4 linked regions of the Yarrowia lipolytica genome follow. The main gene of each other region encodes a partner of the protein of the gene in region 3 in a complex. Links are inferred from orthologs where the notes say so. Each region holds a gene or a part of one and is shown on either strand. Other genes may lie near its edges.

Region 1 (5,467 bases), on a different chromosome or scaffold from region 3:
TCAGGGTCCATGGCGGGGTCCTTTTCGGGTAGACTCGATTGCTCTTTCGTGTCTGTCATGCTGTTGTTGTGCGAGCCTCCAAAATGGTCTTTTGCAAATCCGTCTTCTTTTTGGTCTTTCTCCAGGACTACCGACTCTTTTATGGCTTGGTTGAGAGAGAGCCCCCGCGGATGCCGTCACCCATATTTGGTCTGGATACTTAACTCTATCCCGCTTGTGCATTTCCCTAAACTCTAGTTGACAAGGGTGTAGAGATCGGCATGTGGGGGAAGAGCCAACCGGCAAGTGAAGTAGAGTGTAACAAGAGACGAGCAAGTGGTGCCACAAGAACGTACTTGTAGTCTATGCGTTGGGTGACGGCGTCTGTGTAACAGAACACGTCATCGTCGTGGTCCGCAATGTGACTGCATTTTTTTTTCCTTCCACACTCGCACCGGGTCGTCTAAAAAGCCGCACCTGTGAGACCCGGTTAGTTGGTTCAGGCCTGAGAAAGTTCGCCTGGTAAAGATACGAGTGGTGATCAGTGGGGAAGACTTATGGACCCGTAGGTTTCCACATAATAACATTGAGGTGGAGGAACATAGACCGTGTGTACGTAGCAGCCAAAGGATGGGTGTGTGGAGGAGAAAATGACACGAAAAAGAAGACGAAGATGTCGGCAACCCTCCCAAGTACACGCTACGTGGCCTCCTCCACACAAAGCACGCTAACGCCATGGAACTAGACATGGCCATACGCTAACAACCCTATAGACTCATGCTCAAGGCCTATTGTGGACGCGTCTAGTTGGGCTCTTCTTTTACAATACCGCCCTATTAACTCACCAGTACGAGTAACATACTGCACGAGATTGGAGCTAGCCGGAGGCCCTGAAAACAACTCTAGAATAGAACGAAGAAATTGGTGGTGGCAGACGAGCCATCAGACATTGAACCCTACAAATATCGCCATGGTAAGATACTGCACGACCACCTACCAACACTTGTAATATGTATACAAGTAGCATCAAAACCCACATGTATCGTGCACCTGTGCCCAGGGTCATTAGTAGAGAACTAACGAGTGCTTGTACAACCCACAAAGACAACCACAGAAGAGGTGCAGAATCTCAGCAGCTCGGCGTGTCGTCCTATCAGGTTGGCACCATGCTGTCCGTACCAGAATAGCACTTGTACATGCTTGTTAAGTTAAAGACTCCCGAAGATGTCTCACAAGTGAGACTGTAGCGGATGGACTTGAGAAGGATATGGTTAGTAAGCAGAGGGAGATGTACCAGTCCTTGGTCACCTGCTTATCTACCAGTAAAACATTCTGTCACTCTGGAACGTGGTTGACACTGTTCCACAGCAGCTACAACGGTATCTTCATGTAGTATGATGTACACTGCGCTTTCCATCACGACCCATTTACAGCCACTTTCCACATAAACATATTGATCTGAAACTAGAATGGCGTTACATCAGAGGTCGGTTTGTCTACTGCACCAGTACATACTGTACTACTGTACTTGTACTTGTAGACTTATCAACTGTTTGGTCTTGTTACCAGTATACTGCCGTTCATCTACTTACTGTACAGTGTGCACATTACCATACTGTTCAAACCGGATCAGGTACTTCCAGTGCTACTACAATTCCTGTAGTAAAAGGAAGGCCATTCTCTCCAACTGTGCTCCCGATGTGCTCACTACAAATGTACTACTGTAGTCACTCGTGTTCTATAATCTTTCCTATAATTAATGCGCCTATACTAGCCTATTCTACTGTCGTGTCCATTAGTCATCATCCTCGTCCTCCTCGTCCTCGTCGCCAATCTTGGGAGCGAGGTAGAATCTCAGGTAGCCGTTGGGGAGCAGGTACTCGACCATGATGGGCACCTCGGAAGACATGCCCAGATGCACGTTCTGGGCCAGGCCCGACGCCTTGCAGAAGTTGTTGAGGTACTTGAGGTTGAGCTCCATGGACACAGGGGTCTCGACAGCGATGGTGGTAGATCCCTCGTCGTCGACCGAGGAAGAGGGCTTGATGAGCACGGATCCGTCTCCCACGTCGCCCTTGCAGCTGAACTTGACGCCCTCCTTGTCGCACGAAATCTTGACAGACTCGGACAGCATGAACATATCCCGCATGATTTTCTGGAACGCGTCCACGGGCATGGTGATGTCCGACTCGTACTTGGTGTCAGGGATTCCGAGATGCTCCTGGTCGATCGTCATGAGCTTGAGCACAAACTCAGACACTCGCTCGGACTTGGAGTCCTCAAAGGTGAGCCGCAGCTGGTCGCCGTTGTCGTCAGCCATAAGGGTCAGGGCGTCACGGTCGTTAGCGCATCGCAGAATCTTGACAAGCGAAGCCACCTTGATTCCGAGTGTGATGTTTCGGTCACATCGGTAGTCAGAGAAGCCGTCGGATCCGAGCTTCAGAGACACCAGGGCAATGTGTGAAGAGTCGACGGCCTGTACGTCGATTCCAGTCTCGGAACACTCAAAGTTGACATCAGTCACGGAGTCCTTAATGGCATCGATGATCTGGGTTAGTAAAGACAAGGAATAGGGGTATGCAAACACAAATTGATGTTCCGTTGCCGGTTGTCTTACTCACCTTCTTGAGAAGAGCAGCTTCGTTCAATTTGGCCTCAAGCATTGTTAGATGTGTGTGTGTGTTGGAAGAGTTACTGTGGTGGTGGTGTAGATGGAGGAAAAGAAAGAGGGACGTGTTTTAATCTAAAACGCGACAAATCACTATTCCCAATTGGGATTAACCACAACGCGTCGGTAGGGTAACACAGGTGTGCAGACAAGTATAAAGGGGGCGAGGGTGGCTGGTGGGCAGATTTAGAGACGGCTTTTGGACTTTCAATACTCCAATGACAAACGGATGGTGGTACAGTACATCTCCAGGGTCACGTGACACTTTGAACGGAGGTGTGTAGACCCTTTTCTCACACATTTATACGACTGCCTTCGGAACCGTTCTCCCTGGCAATACCAACGAGCTATTTAAAGTTTGGCGGTGTCAAACACGTCGATTGGAGGATTGGAGGATTGGAGGTGTACAGCATCAATGAAACAACGGAGATTGTACTGACCTTATACCGTGAATGTTACTCGGCTTAATACGATGGATCAGGCCAGATTACCGTGCAAATACAACTACTTATGTGCTGTACTTTTACCGTGCTTTTGTGTGATAAGTTGTTGATGATTACAATCTTGTCTTGAAGTTTTCCCAGTGCTTTATTCCTTCACACCGAGACTCGAACCGCGCACACTTTAAGGTACAAGTGACACTTTCAACGCTCAATGCTCCGAAATAGGCTCGCTGGGAGCTACTATATAGCTGTCTTTCTTCCAAATCATGTGAATTGACGTTGACCAGTGCAACATGGTATTTTGGAGGTGATCCGGTCGTTATAGAGATGGAATTGATATATAGGGGCCATTAATATGGACAATTGGTTGGTTTTAGCGAGAATTGAACTTGCAGCTGCTCTCTGCAGAGTCAGGAACTGCACTAGAGGCCGACTCGGATCTGAGCTGCAGCCTGTGCATTAGCAAACTCTATGATGACTGACTGATTGACCAAAACCCACCGTCGCACACCTTCTTTCTTCGACACTGTCATTCCATTCTCTTCGACAAAATGTTTGCCAACCGAGCCATGCGACTCCAGACCCGAATGTACTCCACCGGAGCCAAGACTCTCAAGATTGGTGAGTAGCACAATCAAGCGACACGGAAGGATCATACAAGCATTAGTGTGACTCATACCCTGGCATGGCCGATGCCACCCCAGATTTTGCTCGATTCGGCAACGGAAAAGTGGTTTTTTTTTTTCGTTCCAGAGCTTCAGCCATTCTTTACCTATACTAACCCAGGTCTTATCCCCGGAGACGGTATTGGCCGAGAGGTCATCCCCGCTGGCCGAAAGATTCTCGAGAACCTGCCGTCCAACAAGCTCAAGTTCGAGTTTGTTGACCTCAAGGCCGGCTTCGAGCTCTTCAAGCAGACCGGAACCGCTCTGCCCGACGAGACCGTCGACGAGCTGCGAAAGTGTGACGGTGCCCTCTTTGGTGCTGTCTCCTCTCCCACCACCAAGGTCGCAGGCTACTCCTCTCCCATTGTCGCTCTGCGAAAGAAGATGGGTCTGTACGCCAACGTGCGACCCGTCAAGGCCGTCCAGGCCACCGACAAGAAGGTCGATCTCGTCATTGTGCGAGAGAACACTGAGGATCTGTACATCAAGGAGGAGCGTGCCTACGAGCAGGACGGCCAGAAGGTGGCCGAGGCCATCAAGCGAATCACCGAGCGAGCCACCGACAAGATCGCCACCATCGCCACCAAGATCGCTCTGCAGCGAGAGCAGGTTCGAAAGCTCGAGGGCGGTAAGCTCTTCCACGAGAAGCCCATTCTGACCATCACCCACAAGTCTAACGTGCTGTCCACCTCCGACGGTCTCTTCCGAGAGGTTGCCCGAGCCTCCGCTGAGAAGGAGCTCAAGGCCGAGGGCGTCTCTGCTGATGCCATCATCATCAACGAGCAGATTGTTGATTCCATGGTTTACCGACTGTTCCGAGAGCCTCAGTTCTTCGACGTTGTGGTTGCCCCCAATCTGTACGGAGACATTCTGTCCGACGGAGCCGCTGCCCTCGTCGGCTCTCTGGGTGTTGTCCCCTCTGCCAACGTTGGCGACGACTTTGTCATTGGTGAGCCCTGCCACGGCTCTGCCCCCGACATCGAGGGTAAGGGTATTTCCAACCCCATTGCCACCATCCGATCCACCGCTCTGATGCTGGAGTTCCTTGGCTACCCTGAGGAGGCCGCCAAGATCTACAAGGCTGTCGACGCCAACCTGGTTGAGGGCAAGCTGCTTTCTCCCGATCTCGGAGGATCTGCCTCTACCGAGCAGGTCACTAACGATATTATCTCCAAGATGAACTAGATTTGTTAGTTATATATGATGAATGAACGATTATGTATATTGATTGACATTGTGTTGCTGTAAGATAACGTTATCTTGCATAACGAGGAGTGCGGAGTGACTTCTAGTCACGTGATCTAAGGCGATGGCTTGGATCGTTCACAAATGAGTAGTACTATTCTTTTTTCATCCCGCTTTACCCGCCGCCTTAGCCTCCTAACAATATCTCACACTCCGAACCAAGTAAGCCCAGTGCTTAAACCTAAACAGAGTCCGTTTTTTAGTCCAACAAAACACCATACCAAACTGCAAACAGTACACAGGCAGCAAGTCCAGCGACAGGCAATGTCCGGGACACCGCTTTCTGTCCACAGCTCTGCATCGACGCCCGAATCGCGCATGCTCACCATTAACGACACAGACACAGACAACTCGTCCCAGCCACTGTACATTGACTCCGGAGACGAAGAAACGCACAATGTGATTGATCTGGATGCCTCCGACGCCTCCGATTACGACAGCAACGACGACGACGGGCTCGATCTGTC
Region 2 (5,533 bases), about 340 kb from region 3:
AAGACGAGCTGAAAGAGAGATTCAAAATGGAACTGAAAGTGACGATACAGATGAGGAATATGGATCTGCATTACCACGTGTGCCTGCTGTGGCTATTCCCAACGTTCCTGTTCCTCCAACTGCTCCTGTTGACGACACATATACGTCTGAGGAGGATACGTGTTCGGAGCGTGAGCTGCCTCGAGGAGAAAACAATCCTGAACACTACCTGGGAGATTGTGTAGATGATGAGAATGTTGAGGGGTGCGCTAGCCCCAACTGTGCGTGTGGAGGACGACAGGTGATCTACCCCGTTGGACTGCCTCCGGAGGACGGATATGGTGATCATGCCCATGAAGAGGAAGGCGATGGCGACAGTGACGAAGATGATGAGGATGGCTGGGAAGAAGACGAGGACGAGTATGGTGAGGATGAAGAGTATGGTGTGGATGAGTATGGCAATTATGATGACGGAAATGAATACGATGACGATGTATATGAGGATGAATTGGGACGAGTGTTTGTGGGAGGTCTTGAAGTTGAAGACTTTATGAACCCCATGAACTACATTGATCCAGACAGTGGGGGCGGTGGGCCGCTGACGTTGAATCGGGAGACTGGTCAGTTTGACTTGAGCCCAGGGGCCTTGGATATCATCAACGAGCTGCGGGCCACGGGAGTGTTGCCTCCGTATGGGTCACCTGGACGACAGCCTGACGGGGCCAATGGAGGGCGATAAGTCATTGGTTGACGCAGGAAGGAAGGCTTCGCCACGCTAGCTACATAATGAAATGCATATATTTATTCGTACACACGACACAGCTATATAAGCACTTGTGCACTGCTGTACTGTCTTTTTGATAGCCCAGTTCGGTATCCAGTGTTTTACAGCCCACTGTCTTAAATTCTCTTTGAGGCTGAACGTATATGCACAGTGAATATCTATATTATTATCTCCTCTTCTTCCCCATTGTCATAGCCATGATACTCCGGTTACCACACGATATTCTGGTGGTAATCTGCGAACTTGTTTCACCAAGAGATCTTTGTGCTCTTCGTGAAACTTGTCAGCAACTCAGCCGCGATATTCCCGGGTCTTTCATCCTCGGATGTCTTCTCTCTGTGTGGGATTGCTGCAATATTGAGTACAGCAGATCGAACGACGATACTTGCCAGGCTCCGCACAAGCTGAACAATTCGCGGGTAGAGTTCTCAGATCAGGTCAAGTGCCCTGTCTACATTGATCAGCCGCTTCCACGCGACTTTTACTGTCTCTGCAAAGAGGTGGACGAGATCTTTCCCTGGGAGTACCACGACAACGGGATTTCTTTCGACGAGAAACTCTTGGATTTGACGGAGCATCCCGAAATGGGCCAAGGGAAGCCCAAGAAAGGACTCACGATGGGACGTTACTACGGAAGCACATATGCGTTTGGAGGAGCACCTGTGATCCAGACAAGACATTCTTCAAAGATGTTGGCTGGTGTGAGTGTTATAAATCTGATCTACTCTGGTATTCCCCAGACGAGAGGAATTGTCAACTTGGATGGACTTTCTCTGCCTTTCAGACTGCAGGTCAACGGAAAAAGTGTTCTTTTGCACGCTCGAGCCTGCGATTATAAGACCTCTGAAGTGATTTGTGTGTCCCCAGGTGGAAAAGTACATACTCAGAGGTGTCGACCCCGGAAAGCTGCTCCTGCTGGTATCGTTCACTACAACGACACCTTCTTCAACATTGATTTTCAAACCCGATACCGACTCCGGGTGTGCAAGTCTCTACATAGCTTGGACTCCGATCCACAACTAAATGAGCCGTACAAGGTGTATCAGGATGAAGAATATTCACAGTTCTGCCTCGTTTACAAGCCCACAGGAATTATAATAGGGCTAATTGACTTGGACAACCAGCAGACAGAAGTCTTTTCCGCACCAGGAACTGGATTTGTGGCCAGAAACTACAGCTCGATATCGTGTGAAGAATACCTCGTCATGGTTGGAATGTCCAAGGGCTCTCTTGGGATCTGGAAGTTTTCCATTAACCATCTCCGCAAGAGGTTCAGATTTCAACATGGAGATGGATTCGCTAACGCTTTGTCGCTAGCAGTCTCTCCCCTTGCCTCCAAGCCGAGATGACAGTGGTCTGATACTTCTTGAAATGTTGCTACAGTATGTAACTAATCGACACCATCCCGAGGCGGATAGTGGTCTTCAAAGGTGGGACTGGGTAGATATCACATGATCGGAGCTGGTTATCGGTTTGTGGAGGGGTATCCGAGTATGGATACAGAGAGAGGTACAATCGTCTATACAGAACAAGTACAATCATCTATACATACATGTGCTGTATATGTATTGTCGATCCCACTTATCTCACTCGAGCCAACGCAATGGGCTTATTGTCTTGATCGCTAAAGAATATTTGGTATACCATCTGGCTATATTGGATATTACTCGATTTTTGTTCCCATGTTTGAATATAAATAAATCGTCGCTATCCATTTTATCCGATTTTACTGTCTCTTTTACACTGTCCAGCTCCCTCCATCCACCTTTCTCATGCACGACGCGTCTAAATTAATTGAAACGTGTGCATCTCTTCAACACCACCATCATGAAGCTCAATTTTTACGAAGAGTACGACAAGCGACACATTTATCGGCTGATCGAGCTGCCCGAGCAGATTATCGGCGAGCTACGGGAGGAAGAGGAGGAGTACAAAAAAACCAAGGAACTGCAACATTACTCACTGACTCTGAGAGGCAAGGATCGGCTCGTTCTGTGCAACAAAAACACGACGTGGAACGTCAAGCAACGGAGCCAAAGCAACACCCTTCATCTGGTGGAGACACGTGACGATGGTCTCGCCAGCATTTGCATCACCCAGCCCATTTTGGAGTGCACTTTGAGTGAATCGCCTCAGTTGGACACCTCTGATCTGCCCTGTTACGACGGAGACAGTATCATGGGAGACCCGCGCATCGCCAAGCACGATCTGGACTCGTTAAGGAACCGCAGCAGCATGTCTGGAGTGCAATTCGACCAGGTTTGGGCGCAAATTGGAGGAGTGGAAGTCGATGGAGTGGCATGTGTGCTGGCTGATAGTCTGATCAAGGAGACAATAGACGATATTCTGACCTCGCTAGCATCACAGAAGCAGCAGCTTAACCTGGTGAGTGCATCTGACGTGGTGTCTGATACTTCTCCAGCAGTAGTTACGGCAGTGTTGAAGATGTTTGCTACAACGCCCATTGAGCCCTACAATCTCGATCTCGCGCACATCATCAGCTGGATTGGCAAAAACGCCCTTGGCGAGCCGGTGCAGATCGAACAGTTTATGATCATGTGGAAAAACTCGATTCCCATGATCTTTGACGAGGATATGGTCTCCCTGGACCTCATCAAAGGCTCCTATGCTCTTTGTGAGACTATGATTCACAAGCTCAGCGAAAGTGATTTGCCGCGTGACCCCAAGGAGCGGTTTGCTCGACTGTTCCAGATCAAGGACAAGTGGGAACTGGACGAAATCACACCGTTCATTGAACCCATCAAGATGAACAAGAGCACCAAGACGGAGAACTTTGTGCTCAAGTACGCTAAGAAGAGAAAGATCGGCGGCAAGGTGATGGTTTGTCGAGAGTGAAGAAACGACGACAAAGAACACAAAAGGAACAAACACAGTGGGATTATATTGAATTGCAAGTACAGATGTCAATAAGTAACCCCAGTCTGAGAACCCTGTAATTGAGAACTCTGGGACTGGGTACGCTGTCGATTCGAAGGACTGGCATGCGTTGCAACTTTTGCTTCATTTCTTTTTTTGCTGAAAGTCGCAGTCCGTCCCACATGATGGTATACAAACCTCTCCTGGAGGCTCTCCTCTGAATTGGGAACGATTCTAAGAAAATACAATGTGCTTCAGAGCAAACAGTTTGTAGTCATCATTGACGTTTCCGTCCATGAACGAAATGTGGGAACCTCCAGAGTGTCGCTGGTCCTTGTAAGATATGTGCAGCTTTGAAGGAGAAGGGGTCAGTCGCATGGTAGCATTAGACGGAATCTCGCCTACCAAAAGAAGTGAGCCAGTATCCTGGGACGTAGCCCGTCCTCTACGGCCAATTGTGCCGAAATCTTGAGAGAGATTTCGTCCCGATACCCTGAAAGAAACTGGATGATGACTAGTTTTTATACATTGTTCTCACAGTCTCTGGAACTCTTATGCAAGACACACTCATGTGTCATCTACTTCTGTCGGCCACTTCACGGGCGAGGAGAGGGTTGTGGGTGAGAACGGTCTTTCTGAAGTCAACTTCATTGATCAGGGACAGTACCTCCATAGTTGACATACTTGCGTCTTTTTGACGAAGTGCGTCTTTTTGACGAAGGAAGTACAGTCCACATGGTAATATACATGGTTGGAGATGTCGATGGGAGTGGGAGCATGTTGACTGTGTGTTTTGAAGTTCGTCTTTATATAGTAGTTTATCTAGGAGTTTCAATCGATACATACAGAAGAGAGTATACGAAGAGAGGATAGTGTGGAAGGAGGTATTGGAGAGGGAAGGTTGATCTGACATTGTTCATATTTCCTCAATCTGATGACTTTCTGATATTGCCTGTGAACATGTTGTTGACAATTACTTGTAGGTATCAAGAGACGTGGCAATCTGGTGGTGTAAATTGTCTTACCTTTCTTCGTGTGTGCTCGCTAACCGTTCTGAATCATGAGGCAAGTTGAAGTGCAGTACTTCAGCGGCACCAAGTCATCCTCACGAAGAACAACCCGTCTCCTTCCCAATTCATATTCATAATTCATTACTGTTACATTCGTCAGTCATACATCATGCGTGGTTGTCCTAGTCCAACTTGGGCTTATCGAGCACACCAGTCAGACTCTTCTTGGCGGTCTCGTAGACTCCAAGGAAAATGGCTCCTCCGGCAGAGATCCACATGGTTCGAGGACCAATGCCTTTGAGCAGAGCACTGTATCCCTCGGTCTGGACTATCTGCCGGTACGTCTGGAAAAAGGTCTGTCTCTGCTTGTGGAGCATCAGACGGGTTTTGATCACATCCAGAGGAGTGGTCAGAGCAGCAGCAACACCTCCAGAGAAAGATCCACATACGGCAGCCTCCTTGGAAGTGACCACATCTCTTTCGGTGGCCCGAGCCCACTTCTTCTTGAGAAACTCGTACAGAGGAAACTGGATCATGGTGAAGGGGATTTCTCGCACAATGGTGGTAGCGTAGCCTCGGTACAGACCTCGCAGCACTCCCTCGCCGCTAGAGTTATTGAGGATCGACTTGAGGGCCTCCATGGACGACTTGTAGTGACCAGTCTGGGCTCTCTGCTTGATCACCTCTGAGGGCACTCGAACCATACAGGCAGCAACTTCTCCAAGAGAAGCTCCAATCATGTGAGTGACACCTTGTGCCACGTCATCGTTGAGAATGAGAGCACGCACATGGGGAGTAAGATGCGTCTTGGTGTACTCGTAGGTCAGGAAGAAGAGAGAAGCTCCTGGTGCCGAGGCCACGATAGCCGATCCGACTCCTCGGT
Region 3 (5,330 bases):
TTAAACCGCTTCTGGCGGCCCCCTAACACCCTCCCAAACACACTGTTATACCTCCCGCCATCCACTATAATTAGATAGGCTTCGGGAGGTGTCTGGCAACAGAGTTTTAGCACTTCGCTCTAGGTTCCAACCCAAACAAAGAGCCCCACGGTAGAACCAAAACCGCCGTCAGGGAGGTTTCAATTGTAGCAAGAAAAGAAAAATTTCGCAGAGACGAAGCTGTTTGGACGTGTCTTGTGTCGCCATCTTCCAGCTGGCTTTTCTACACACCCCCAGCGGCTCCATACCCCTACTTATCGCCGTCGGCCCCCTGCATGGTGAAACAGGGGGTGCATAGCTGCGACTGCCACTCACCGCATTCTCACTCTGTCACCTATTTTTCTTTTTCTTTTTCTTTTTCTTTTTCTTTTCACCTCCGCCACACACGGCCGCAACAAGACGCTCACAACTCCCGAATCTAATGTGTATACTACAAGTACAATCTCATTATGGAACGTAAAACGATATTCGCCAGTGGTAATCTGGAATGCGCTAGGGATACAGGTACACACATTCTGGAGCTTTGTGGAGCTTGTTTGTTGGCGGTGCAAGGCGCAACAGGTAGTCAACGTACTGTACTCTTACTGTACTCGTACCACACTGACACTTATTATGGCCAGTCGTTGGTGATGGCACCTTCGATTGTCTATCGGAGCCGCATAAATCTCCGTCCATCACCACACTGTACAGCTCACCCAGGTACAACTGTTTCAGCAACCAGGAACCCCCTGTTGATCGACGGCCGATGCGTGGATCCTGTCGGGAACACAACCCACAATGAACATCAACACAATGGCGTGCATCACATGATGGCACACACCCCCGATAGACACCAGCGGTGCTTGTTCCTTAGCCCGTCCGCAGCCCAGGCTACTTGTACATTCTGGATACTCCTTACTGTACCTCCTGTCAGGCACCAAACAGGCCTACAGTCAACCTCGAGGATGGAGAGAATCCACACTGCCCATCTGAAACAATCTATGGCTGAGGCTCTAACACCTCCCACAATCAAGACTGTTTAGATCGACAGGGTTCACAAGCCCTCGTCCAGGGTTATAATACCTGAAATACCTCATGTGTTTTGGCTCCTGGGTTGGAACTAAAAACCGGCGCTAACGCAGCCAAGCGGGTGTAATTTACCCCAGACGGCCGACTAATCCAGTCTAGTGACGTCACACACTAATTTCCCAACACGACAGCAATAGACGCTCACTAAAGGGCCGTTTCACCTTGCTAACGTGGTTCTGGATCCTCGTGTAGCGGGGTATCAGAAGAAGGGTCATCACTTGTTGGTCCCTTGTGTGCCAGATGCACTCATGCACAAAATTAGACGAGCATGATACAACCGCCAAAGTACACAACTGGATCAAGACTTGCACCCACCCACTATTATTTCACCGAGGTCTCTCTATCGCCAAAAGTGCAGTAATCTTTGCGCCCATAGAATTATTTCCTCCGATAATTTCCCCTAATAATTTCCCCAAACGCCAATAATTTTGCAAACCATCGACCCTCCCGAGCAATAGATCTGAGACACAAGCCACCTGACGGATCGTGAAGCTGACCAATATTTACGAGTACGATGCACAAGTACGGGTAAAAGAAGGAGAACAGGTCGTGCATCATCATCTGAGCACCCCCTGGCTGACCGTATCCTGCTGAGTCTGGCACATACACAACTCCTTGCTGGGCTTGGTAGAGCTTGCTGAGCCTTGTGGAGTCTGCTGCGGAGTGCTGAGCCTTGCTGGGCGTGTAACCAAGCCATTACCCCTTGCTGAACATCTGTAGCTAAGCCTTGTACTATGATACGAGTCTATTGACAGGGCTTTTACTTCAAGGCTTACTTCTTGGGCTCGAAAAGCCACTTGGAACTGCTTGAAACGCGATGGCTCACCTTTCGGACGCAAATATCAGCCTCCTTCAGCTTGGACAAGAGACGTTGACGGTTGGCTATGAATGGTATGACCATGGGCTAACGGTATCCAGGAAGCATCAGGGAAGACAAGGGCGTGGGGACAAGGTAATCAGGAGTGTACCACGTGATTAACCCGAATAATTGTTGATTATTGCCCTCATTGCTACAAATATTGTCTCTCCTTCATCTCTTCACCTCATCTCTTCACCTCATTCGTTCACTTGATACAGTTTCTGAAATACGACAACCTAAACTCAGCCTTGCATGGAATGCTGAGATGCAGGACAAGCAAGAGAAATGTACGTGAAAATGACAGCAAGCACCACAGACGTGGTGGGGGTCGGAAACGCAAAAAAACAAGACACTCCGATACCGGGAATCGAACCCGGGTTCTCCGCGTGAAAGGCGGAAGTGATAACCCCTACACTATATCGGACAGATTGTGAAAATTGGGTTTTCTCGACCCACAAGAGCGTGGAAAATCCCGTTCTGAATTTTACGCGGGAGGATAATTACTCGGAGGAAAAAATGGGGTTAGAATAAAACGACACGGAGATGGATGACAATGATGTGTGTTAATGATGTGAACTAAAGCGGAATTGAGTGGAATTGAGTGGAAATCAAACTCTCCTCTCTATAGTAAATGCCCTTTCGGTGGGCTCTTCACTTTAGTTAGACTTGGTTGACTCAAGCACAAGTTATTGTTAAGCTTTTACCCAGTAGTGTGTATTTTCCTAAAATCCGTACAACTGCAATCAAATCTGACTGGTTTTTTTTTCTAAATATTCATCAACCCATTCACACTCCTTCTACGACATCTTATATTGGTATATTTCCCCGAATACCGACTTCTCAACACCCTTGTATCCTCCATCAATCTCTACAACTGGCAAACTCTAAACGCCAAATCACTTTTACACGCGTCTCTACATGTCCCATTTTCTCCATCACCACATCAACCCCAAAACATGTCTCTCTGGGTAGATAAACACCGTCCCAAGTCCCTCGATCACGTGGATTACCACCAGGACATCTCCGAGCGGTTTTCCGCGCTTGCCGCGACAGGCGATCTGCCTCATCTTCTCGTCTACGGACCGTCGGGAGCAGGCAAGAAGACCCGAGTCATGGGACTGCTCAAAAAGCTCTACGGCCCCAGCGTGGAGAAAATCAGCACCAAGTCCCACAAGTTCGTGACGCCGTCGAAGCGAGAACTCGAGCTCGGCGTCATTTGCTCGGCTTACCATCTTGAAGTGACGCCGTCCGACATGGGCAACAATGACCGTCTTGTGATCCAGCAATTGCTCAAGGAAACTGCTGAAACTCAGCAGGTCGACCTCAATGCCAAACAACGGTTCAAGGTGGTGATCATCAACGAGGCCGACTCGCTGTCTCGTGACGCCCAGGCTGCCCTCAGACGAACCATGGAAAAATACACAAAGAATATCCGACTGATTCTGCTCACTAACTCCACCTCCAATATCATTGCACCCATCAGGTCGCGAACCCTGCTGGTGCGAGTCGCTGCACCTACCGAGCAGGACATTGTCAACGTACTGGAAAAAGTGGCTGCCAAGGAACATGTGGATCTTGAGAACACCAAAACCCTGGAAAAGATTGCTTCGCATAGCGACCGGAACCTGCGGAAGGCTCTATTGACTCTGGAGACTCTGTACACCTTTGCAGGCTCCAAAACGGTGTCGGAAAACACTCCAATTCCTACTCCTGACTGGGAAATGGTCATTGGCCGTATTGCCCGAGAACTCGTGTCATCTCGAACCCCAGCCACTCTGTTGGCCATCAGATCGCTCTTTTATGAGCTGCTCTCCCATTGCATTCCTCCCTCGACGATTCTCAAGGAGCTCACCTACAGACTGATTCCGGTGGTGCCTGCCAATCTGAGGGTGCCGTTGATTTCTGCCGCAGCCACCTACGAGCATCGGTTGAAGCTGGGTGCGAAGTATATCTTTCATCTGGAGGCGTTTTGCGCAAAGGTGATGGTCTTGTTGGAGGAGTAACCAGTGAAGTGAGTGCAAGTACATGCAAAACAAAAGACACTGGCCAGTGCTATTGCAGTGAAGGAAGGACTAAGGATATATATAGATAATGAAGCATTGATTGAAAGTAGGCGTTGGTCTGATGCAGTGAACAGCATGCAGATATCCTTTGCCCTGCTACTTCAAGTACAGTAGTCCATTCAACGGGTCCATCATCGCCTGTGGCGCCAATGACGCGTTCAACATCGCAGTTTCGTCCCAGAACTGGTTCAGAAAGTGTTCGGAAGCTGAGAAAAGGGAAGCTGAGAAAAGGGATATCCTCGCAGACCCTACCACTCGGAATGGGAGAAACAGAAGGTGTCTGTTTCCTCGCCCAGGATATTGCTAAGCAATTATGAATAGCGAGCTCGTGAGGAAGGGCCATTATCGCAGAAGAAGCCCCTCGTGTCACCAATGAGGGTTGGCGCCGTGCTTCTAGATTCTTTGTACTTGGTGACATCCACGGACTAGAGTCAAGACGCGAGCTACTGGTAGGACAGACGCTGATACTGGCACAACTACAGAAACACTTTGGCGCTTCACCCAGGGTTCGACTGTGGTACAGAAGGCACACACGGCAACCAGCGCAGTTATAAATAAATATATTACAATACAAATAAATAAGTTCTCCATCGTTGCATCACCACTCCAGCCCCTCAGTCCACTCCACTAGCCTCTCACTTGCATCTTCCGCCTTACTCACTGCCTTGACCCGTGAGTAGTAAATAGGACAGTCCTGAGACTCGCACCTAGTCTCAAAGTCGCCTGAGCACTGCGCGCAGATTGTGTTGAGCTCATCCAGCCGCTTCTCCCTGTACCTCAGATCGGAGTTAAGCACGAATGTTGCATGACCAGGATCACTCTCGCACGTGGCGCAAAGTTTAGACAAGCCAGACGTCTGGGCAGTCTTGCAGACGATGCACGAGTTGGACACAGCGTACGACTTGAGCGTGGTTTGGTTGGTCTTTGCTCGAGAAACAGTCTGGTAAAACTCGTACCGCCGCTTCTTGGGCATCTCCTCGTACCACTTGAGAACAGAAGCACCCACACAGTTAAAGAACCGATCCAGAGGGGGAATCAGAGTCTTGTGAATGTAGTAGTCGGCGTCGAGAATGAGAGAGTTGGCGTTCCTGACTAGTTCTTCAGGAGAAACACATCGGTCAATCAGCCGACTTTTGGGAGGACCAGCAACAACCACATATGGGATACGTTCCTTGTACTGGGGTTCAAAGCGCATGTCGACTGCCATTTTCTCAGCCGAGATCTTCGCACCCGCGGGCAACACTCCCCCTTCCTTGTACTGGCCTAACTTGACTTCCTTGGCAAAACAAAAGTCCTGAATC
Region 4 (7,296 bases), on a different chromosome or scaffold from region 3:
AAGTTATACTTCAGGTCAATACCTGCTGGAGATGGCTGTCCAGCTTCTACCATCCCAAATTCTCTAAGAGTAATACTACATATTGTAGGCCCATGCCTACCTTTTGATTTTTCATATTGCTGGAAATCGGAGCTGAGACTCCAGTCCATCTACAGTATTAATACCCGCAAAGGGCTCAATTTGTCTGCTGTAAACGTCAACAGTATGGTTGTATAGGACAGGAAACAAAAAGCACAGACTCCCATTGTTTTGGGGTTCTTCAAACATCGAGACAATACACATTACTGCGGACTGCATATCTATACAATAAATTCAACTATATACCATCCTTTTCTTCACTTTCGCTTACCCTTTCCCTTGGGCTTACCTCGCTTAGAGGCCTCCTTTCGATCGGTCTTGGTCTTCTTGTACATTCGGACCTCCTCGTTGTCTTTCTTCTTCTTCATCTTGTCCTTGTTGCTGGCTAGTAGATTTCGTTTGTCCGAGGTCTCATCAGCCTTCTTCTCTTGGGCATTCTGGAACCAAGTTCGCCGAGGTCGGGATGCAATCTCCTTCTCGTACTTGAGAAGGTTCTCTCCCTTTCGCACCTCCATCTCGGCCTGCAGCATGGCCTTCTCCTCCTTCTCCTCAGCCAGAATCTCGTTGACAATGTCACCCTTCTCCTCGATCTTGGAGTATAGCTTCTCGACCTCAGGCCAGTCCACGTTTCGGCCCACGGCCTTGCCCTGTTTACTCTCAGATACAGACTTGATAGCCTCGCGGACAATGGCTCTGTCAGCAGCAGCCTCCCCGACCAGAGTGATGGATCGACCTTCTCGTCCTGCTCGAGCAGTTCGTCCAACTCGATGCAGGTAGACAGCATGGGTCTGGGGCATGTCGTAGTTGACGACACACTCGATCTTGGGGATATCCAGACCTCGGGAAGCCAGATCGGTACAGACCAGAATGGGCACCTCCAGTTTTTTGAATGCTGTGATGGACTGCAGACGCTGCTCCTGAGACAGAGCTCCGTGCAGTTCTCCAATTCGGACTCCGAGCAGACCCAGCATGATTCGAAGACGATGCGCAGTCTCTTTTCGGGCCACGAAAATAATGGTTCGCTGCTCCTTGTCCATCTTCTTGAGGATGGAGGCCAGCAGAGCGGGCTTGAGATGGTCTCGCTTACGGATTCGAACAAACTCTTGCACCAGACCAGAAGCGGCCTGCTTGGGAGGGTTGATCATGACTCGAACGGGCCGAGAAAGAGACAGCTGAATAAGCGACGAAATGGACGAATTCATAGTGGCAGAGAAAAGCAGAGTCTGACGCTTCTTGGGAAGCAGTGTCAGAATCTCGGTCAGTTCCTGTTGGAAACCCTCCTCCAGCATTCGATCAGCCTCATCAATCACCAGAATCTCGACATCGTCAACGTTGAACGAGGGAGAGTTTCGAACATGATCAATAAATCGACCGGGGGTAGCAATGACAACCTCGGGTCGCGTCTTGAGCTCCTGCTCCTGAACTCGAAGGTTCAGACCACCGACAGCCAGACCGAATCGCACGCCAGAAACATACTGTGCGAGCTTCTTACCAACATCGGCGACCTGAATGGACAGCTCTCGAGTGGGAGTCAGAACCACAACCTTAGTGGCTGCGACCTTGGAGGACTTGTAGAGAAGACGCTCCAAAACAGGAATGATGTACGCAGCAGTCTTACCAGAACCAGTGACGGCACCAGCAACCAGATCCTTGCCCATGAGAGCAATGGGGATGGTTCTGCTCTGAATCGGAGTGGGGGCCTGGTATCCCAGAGCAGAAATACCCTTCATGACGGGTCTAGACAGATTCAGAGTCTGAAAGGTTTTGTGCACAGACTCAGTCTTATCGTTGTTCTCCTCCTCGGGAGCGTAGAATGCAGCCATCTCCTCGGCAGTGTCCTGGGGTCCCTCGTCGATGGCAGGGCCTTTATGGTCATCCAAAACCAAATCATCGGGGTGCATACACTCCTCAGCCTCGGAGTCGCTTCCATCAGAGTCCTCCTCCTCTTCATTCTCAACCTCTTCTTTGTTCTCCTCGTCCTCGTCCTCAGGCTCATCCATGTCCTTTCCGGGCTGGACTCCTCCTCCGAAACCATCAATGGCCAGATCATCTTCGTTCTCCTCCATCTTAACGTCTGTCTCGGCCTCGTCCTCGTCCTCGTCCTCGTCCAGAAGGCCTCCTTTTCTCTTGATAATGCTGTCCAAATCAACTTCTCGCTTCTGGACCTTGTTGTCGTCCTTGGACACCTCAAAGTTCCAGCCGTCCAGACCTTCAGAGGTGGCAGCAAATCCGTCCAGCGAAAACTGGAAGTCGGGGTTGATGCCGGCCTTGGCAGCCTGCTTTTCTCGCTCCAGTAGCTCCTCGTCGGCTTCACTGAGTTTTTGCTTCTTCTGCTTCTTTGTCAGCTTGACAGGCTTCTCCTCCACCTCTTCCTTCTCGTCTGCACTCTCCTCCTCCAGATCTTCACCGTCGGAATCTAGAGTCATGACAAAGTCGTCCTTTACTTTGGAAATCATGGCAGCCGATTGTTTGGACTTAGTAGCCTTCTTGACCGGTTTGGTCACTTTTCCCTTGACCATTTTTGTGTGTGTTATTTGCGTGCTGGTTTGAAATAGGGTGGATAATTTATTTCTGCATGGACATATTTTTCCAATAAACTCTGGATGCATTAATGACGCACAGTCATGTGATTGACGTTAGGAGGAGGGTGAGGGAGTGAGTGTTGCAGTAGAAGTACGAGTACATACTGTAGAGGGTTATAACTTGATGAATCTTGGCTGAAGTGTCAATGTGAACAGATTTTATGACCATCAAGCCATTACAATTGATCACTAATAGTCATATAATCCAAATCTGTTCTTTAATCTGTTATTACATTGTTCACCTTACGAAGTCCACCTGCCATCACACGCAGCAAGCCAGCATGTGGGTACAATAATTGCCCACAATACAAGAACAACTCATTTCACGATCATTAAATTGCATAGATAAACTGCTTCAACAACCTCTTACCTGTGATTATTTTTCATCACTTATTGTAGTCACAATATACAGTAACCTCTCTGTTGTAATTACTCCCCTGCCTCTTCTTTCGCCTCTCCCAACCGCAGCACTGCAAAACGCGTCAACACGAAGCTTTCCATTTATCACCACTGGAACGCAGTGCAAAAAAAATGCCTCCCAAAGATATCCGCAGTTTCTTTGGAGCCCAAAAGACCAAGGCGCCGGCCAAGTCCAATGACGTGAGTACCAATTGCACTGCCCATCTGTTTTGATTCACGCAAAAACCACTAACATAGAAACGGCCAGCCACCACGTCTGTGGACGAAGAGAGAAAGCCCAAAAAGGTCAAACAGGAGGTCAAACAGGAGATTAATTCCGAGCCCGAGAAGTCGCCCGTCAAGCCAAAGATTCCCGCAAAGCCCAATCCCACTGCTAAGACCAAGTCTCCTGCCAAACCTGCTCCCAAAAAGCGGACAATCCAGATTGACGATTCTGACAGCGAAGATGGAGAGGCCCCTTATGAGATAGATATGGACAGCGACGACGGGTTTGTGGACGACGATGATTTGCCCGTGAAACCTGTGCAGCGACGAACACGACGATCGGGGCCAGTCAAGGATGACGATGTGATTGAGATTGATGAGGACGACAATGTGGTCAAGAAGCCACCTCCCAAGGCAAGCGTATCAAATAAGGGCCCAATCATTGACTATGACGATCTCGATGACGACGATCTCGAGCAAATCAAGCGTGCTCCTAAAAAGGCTGCCCCCAAGCCCAAGGCTGCTCCAACGGCCGCCCCCAATGCTCGATCCGCACCTGGAGGGGCTACAGCAGAGTCTGTACTAGCGCAATTACCCGACGCCGAGCTTCCCGAGGTCGAGGAGGGGAAGAAGTTCAACTTCCGAGAGCATCTGGCCAAGAACACGGCCACTGGAAGTGGAGAAGGAGGAGGAGCAGTGGAGCTTCCTGAGGCGGCCGAAAACTGTCTGGTGGGCCTCACGTTCGTTTTCACTGGCACCATGCCCAACTTGTCGCGAGAAGAGGGTCAGGCCGCAGTCAAAAAGTACGGAGGTAAGGTCACTTCTTCCATTTCTGGTAAGACCAACTGTGTTGTTCTGGGAGAAGATGCCGGACCCAAGAAGATTGAGCAGATCAAGAAGCTCAGAACCAAGGCTCTGGATGAAGCTGGTTTCTTGGAACTGCTCAGACTCATGCCTGCTGACGGTGGAGGGGGTGCTGCTGCTGAAAAGGCGCTAGCTAAGCAGGCAGAAGAGGCCGACAAGATTGCTGCTGAGAGCGCAAAGATGGCTGCTGAGATGGCGGCGCGAGAAAAGAAGGAGAAAGCTGCATCCAAGAAGGCGGACGCTTCTGGAGCCCCTCGGGCTGTGTCTATGGATGACCAGCTGTGGACAGTCAAATACGCCCCCAACAACCTGAATCACGTTTGCGGAAACAAGGGAGCGGTGACCAAGCTACAAAACTGGCTCAACAACTGGCACGACAATGCCAAACATGGATTCAAGCAGCCTGGAAAAGATGGATTTGGCATTTATCGTGCTGTTCTGCTGTCTGGTCCCCCTGGAATCGGTAAGACTACTGCTGCGCATCTGGTGGCCAACCTTGCAGGCTATGATGTGATTGAGAACAACGCCTCGGATGTGCGATCTAAAAAGTTGCTTGCTCAGGACGTTTCTTCAGCTCTCACAAACACCTCCATCATGGGTTTCATGAGCTCAGCGAAGTCTTCCAAAGAGAAGAAGATCTGTATGATCATGGACGAGGTCGATGGTATGTCTGCTGGTGATCGAGGAGGTGTGGGCCAGATGGCTGCCCTGTGTCGAACTACTGAGGTGCCAATCATCCTCATCTGTAACGACAAGGGTCTTCCTAAGATGCGTCCATTTGACAGAGTGACTCTGGACATTCCTTTCCGACGAATGGACCCCAAGGCTATCCTAGCACGAATGATGACCATCTGTCATCAGGAGAAGATCAAAATTTCAGCTCCTGTTTTGGAGCAGGTCATTGCTGGCTGCAACTCAGATATTCGTCAGATCATCAACTTGCTGTCGACTTATGCTCGAAACCAGAATGAGGGTGGTCTTGATATTGAGTCTGGTAAGAAGATGACCCAGTCATGGGAGAAGAATGTGGTTCTGAGTCCCTTTGATATCACTGGAAAGCTGCTTTCCGGAGGCCTATGGGCTCCTTCCTCCAAGGCCACTCTCAATGACAAGATTGAGCTTTATTTCAACGATCACGACTTTGTTCCTCTCATGATCCAGGAAAACTATCTCAACGTGCAGCCTAGTGGAGGAGGCGACAACAAGGAGCGTTTGAGGAAGACGTTGGCTGCTGCTGAGTCCATATCTGATGGTGATCTTGTTGATAAGATGATTCATGGCTCCCAGCAGCACTGGTCTCTGATGCCTTTGCATGGGTTCCTGAGTGCGGTTAGGCCTGCTTCTTTCGTTGCCGGCCAGGCCCGAGGACGATTCAACTTCACGTCCTGGCTGGGTCAGAACTCCAAGGGAGGAAAGCATCTTCGAGCTCTCCAGGAGCTTCAGAGTCATGCTGGATACAAGACTTCGGGCAACTCTCGAGAGCTGAGACAGCAGTACTTGCCTTTGATGACTCGAAAGCTTCTTGACCCACTTTTGGCTAAGAAGGCAGAGGGAGTTCCTGAGGTGATCGATTTCATGGACTCGTATTATCTCACCCGAGAGGATTGGGATGCTATCATGGAGATGGGTGTTGGTCCTGACAGTGGAGAAGAGCGTATGAAGAAGCTCGAGACTCAGACCAAATCTGCCTTCACTCGAAAATATAACACTTCGTCGCATCCCGTGCCCTACATAAAGTCTGGAACTGCCATGGACATGAAGGCGTCTAAGGCCCAACCTGATTCGGGAGACGTGGTTAATGAGGAGGTGGAGAAGGAAGAGGAAGAGGATGAAGAAGACATTTCGAAGGACAAGTACATCAATCAGCCCAAAAAGAAGGCTGCTCCTAAGAAGGCTGCTCCCAAGAAGACACCTGCCAAGAAAGCTGCCCCCAAGAAGGCTGCTGCTAAGAAAAAATAGCCTGTCCTGTTACTACTGTGTATGTATTTAGACGCAATTGATTTATATGAAATACATCCTAATGAAATTTTTGAGCGTATTCTATTGTCGTTATTCGTTAATCATTAATCGTGTTGTGGTGTCATAACTTGTAGGGGGTATGCTGTCTGATATTCGCTGCAGTACTCAAAATCAGAGACAGATTCTGGCAATATGAAAGATGGCGTGTCAAAAGACATGTCAAAAGGTCCGTAATCGCGTCTTGGTGTCGTAGCGATTAACTCCTCTCTTGTTGCATTCGCCTCACTTTAACCTCCAGCTCCTTGGACCACTCGTCCACCTCTCCAACTAGCTTCTCCAGAGTATCGAGGTGGCCACGGACCTGTTTGAGCTGGTCCACGTACCTTGCGTTCTCGTTGTTCAGACCTTCGAGGTACTCTCTATCGTTTTCGAGGCCCTTGGTCGACTCGGCAAGTTGCTTGTACTTGTGTGTCTGTTTGCGATTCACCACCTCCAGCGAGTCTAGCCACGTGACTGTGTAGTCTGTCTGGGCGTCGATCAGGTTTTCCGCAGCCTTGACGGTTTTCTCCATGGTGAATCACTGGGTCAACATGCCTGTGGTGGTGAGCTTACCCATATGCATGCTGTTAATTAAGTTGGTGCTGTTTGGAATTGTCGAGGGTGAATATGTCACGTAAGAAAACAGGATGATATTAGTGAAGCCACCGCTGGTTAACGATTCAGATCCCATAAACATAGCTAGACATTAATTCTTCTCTCTTCAAAACCGTTACAACAGGTATTGTACCAGTTTCAAAGCCAGGTTAGGGTTGGGAGCTGGAGAGGATGTCTATCTCTTTGATGTTGTGGGTTTGCTTGTACAAGTACTGCGTTGAGCCAACTACTGTAAGTCAGCCTGTGCCTCATCCTATTAGAAATAGTCGCATTCCACGTCATTCTTATCATTTCAAACACCCAGACCAAACTTGCAAGCAGCCCTACAGTATTTCAAAATGTACTGTACAGTATAGAGTTCAATCATCTTACACGGAAATTCAATTTCATTTCACGAGTAATTCCGACACCACACACATCACACACTATGGGAATGTTCTGGAACAGGAATCCCAAGGAGGAGCCTGCCACGGCTGCCGTTCAGGAGCAGGTGTCGACTTCCGCGCCTGCCGAAGCAGCTGCTGCTCAGGCAAAG

Evidence for each region.
Region 1: the proteins of YALI1_C29983g (region 3) and YALI1_D13226g are in contact, whole or in part, in a cryo-EM structure (PDB 7TI8), measured with the Saccharomyces cerevisiae proteins. The link is inferred for Yarrowia lipolytica from reciprocal best matches to the Saccharomyces cerevisiae genes RFC5 and POL30. Residues at the interface, in NP_009644.3 of Saccharomyces cerevisiae: Arg67, Lys69, Asp71, Val72, Arg73, Ser89, Ser90, Pro91, Glu115, Ala117, Gln118, Met119, Glu120, Val122, Asp123, Phe124, Asp129, Gly130, Leu131, Lys136, Asn164; in NP_009645.1 of Saccharomyces cerevisiae: Asp42, Ser43, Arg44, Val45, Asp124, Leu126, Glu129, Leu131, Tyr211, Glu232, Ala233, Pro234, Ala251, Pro252, Lys253, Phe254.
Region 2: YALI1_C29983g (region 3) and YALI1_C26580g share a complex: the UniProt entries of both Saccharomyces cerevisiae proteins name them as parts of the CTF18-RFC complex. The link is inferred for Yarrowia lipolytica from reciprocal best matches to the Saccharomyces cerevisiae genes RFC5 and DCC1.
Region 4: the proteins of YALI1_C29983g (region 3) and YALI1_B22020g are in contact, whole or in part, in a cryo-EM structure (PDB 7TI8), measured with the Saccharomyces cerevisiae proteins. The link is inferred for Yarrowia lipolytica from reciprocal best matches to the Saccharomyces cerevisiae genes RFC5 and RFC1. Residues at the interface, in NP_009644.3 of Saccharomyces cerevisiae: Trp4, Val5, Asp6, Lys7, Arg9, Lys50, Met54, Leu68, Ile70, Leu85, Asn86, Val88, Glu95, Thr97, Asp100, Asn141, Glu142, Glu209, Arg231, Val232, Leu235, Glu238, Ser239, Leu242, Asn243, Glu245, Ile255, Pro257, Asp258, Trp259; in NP_014860.1 of Saccharomyces cerevisiae: Leu590, Gln593, Glu594, Tyr596, Leu597, His610, Leu611, Glu612, Val614, Ala615, Ala618, Asn619, Ile621, Ser622, Leu623, Asp625, Ile626, Glu628, Lys629, Trp669, Gln672, Lys675, Ser676, Tyr679, Tyr680, Leu683, Gln684, Tyr688, Arg691, Leu692.

The regions. Positions count from the first base shown.
Region 1 is NC_090773.1:1,320,108-1,325,574, forward strand, and holds YALI1_D13226g (uncharacterized protein), read right to left. Parts: upstream 2,643-5,467; coding exon 2,601-2,642; intron 2,528-2,600; coding exon 1,775-2,527; downstream 1-1,774. Other genes in the region: YALI1_D13201g (uncharacterized protein), read right to left, coding at 1-59; YALI1_D13238g (uncharacterized protein), read left to right, coding at 3,783-4,940; YALI1_D13251g (uncharacterized protein), read left to right, coding at 5,085-5,467. UniProt on the Saccharomyces cerevisiae protein: This protein is an auxiliary protein of DNA polymerase delta and is involved in the control of eukaryotic DNA replication by increasing the polymerase's processibility during elongation of the leading strand. Involved in DNA repair.
Region 2 is NC_090772.1:2,655,136-2,660,668, reverse strand, and holds YALI1_C26580g (uncharacterized protein), read left to right. Parts: upstream 1-2,590; coding exon 2,591-3,619; downstream 3,620-5,533. Other genes in the region: YALI1_C26616g (uncharacterized protein), read left to right, coding at 1-718; YALI1_C26597g (uncharacterized protein), read left to right, coding at 907-2,112; YALI1_C26566g (uncharacterized protein), read right to left, coding at 3,688-3,892, 3,942-4,018; YALI1_C26544g (uncharacterized protein), read right to left, coding at 4,833-5,533. UniProt on the Saccharomyces cerevisiae protein: Component of the RFC-like complex CTF18-RFC which is required for efficient establishment of chromosome cohesion during S-phase and may load or unload POL30/PCNA.
Region 3 is NC_090772.1:2,995,940-3,001,269, reverse strand, and holds YALI1_C29983g (uncharacterized protein), read left to right. Parts: upstream 1-2,922; coding exon 2,923-3,969; downstream 3,970-5,330. Other genes in the region: YALI1_C30007g (uncharacterized protein), read left to right, coding at 489-1,061; YALI1_C29968g (uncharacterized protein), read right to left, coding at 4,019-4,447; YALI1_C29926g (uncharacterized protein), read right to left, coding at 4,628-5,330. UniProt on the Saccharomyces cerevisiae protein: Component of ATP-dependent clamp loader (RFC and RFC-like) complexes for DNA clamps, such as the POL30/PCNA homotrimer and the checkpoint clamp DDC1:MEC3:RAD17 complex.
Region 4 is NC_090771.1:2,198,907-2,206,202, forward strand, and holds YALI1_B22020g (uncharacterized protein), read left to right. Parts: upstream 1-3,191; coding exon 3,192-3,260; intron 3,261-3,317; coding exon 3,318-6,107; downstream 6,108-7,296. Other genes in the region: YALI1_B22015g (uncharacterized protein), read right to left, coding at 336-2,687; YALI1_B22055g (uncharacterized protein), read right to left, coding at 6,364-6,678; YALI1_B22060g (uncharacterized protein), read left to right, coding at 7,189-7,296. UniProt on the Saccharomyces cerevisiae protein: Component of the ATP-dependent clamp loader RFC complex for the POL30/PCNA homotrimer DNA clamp.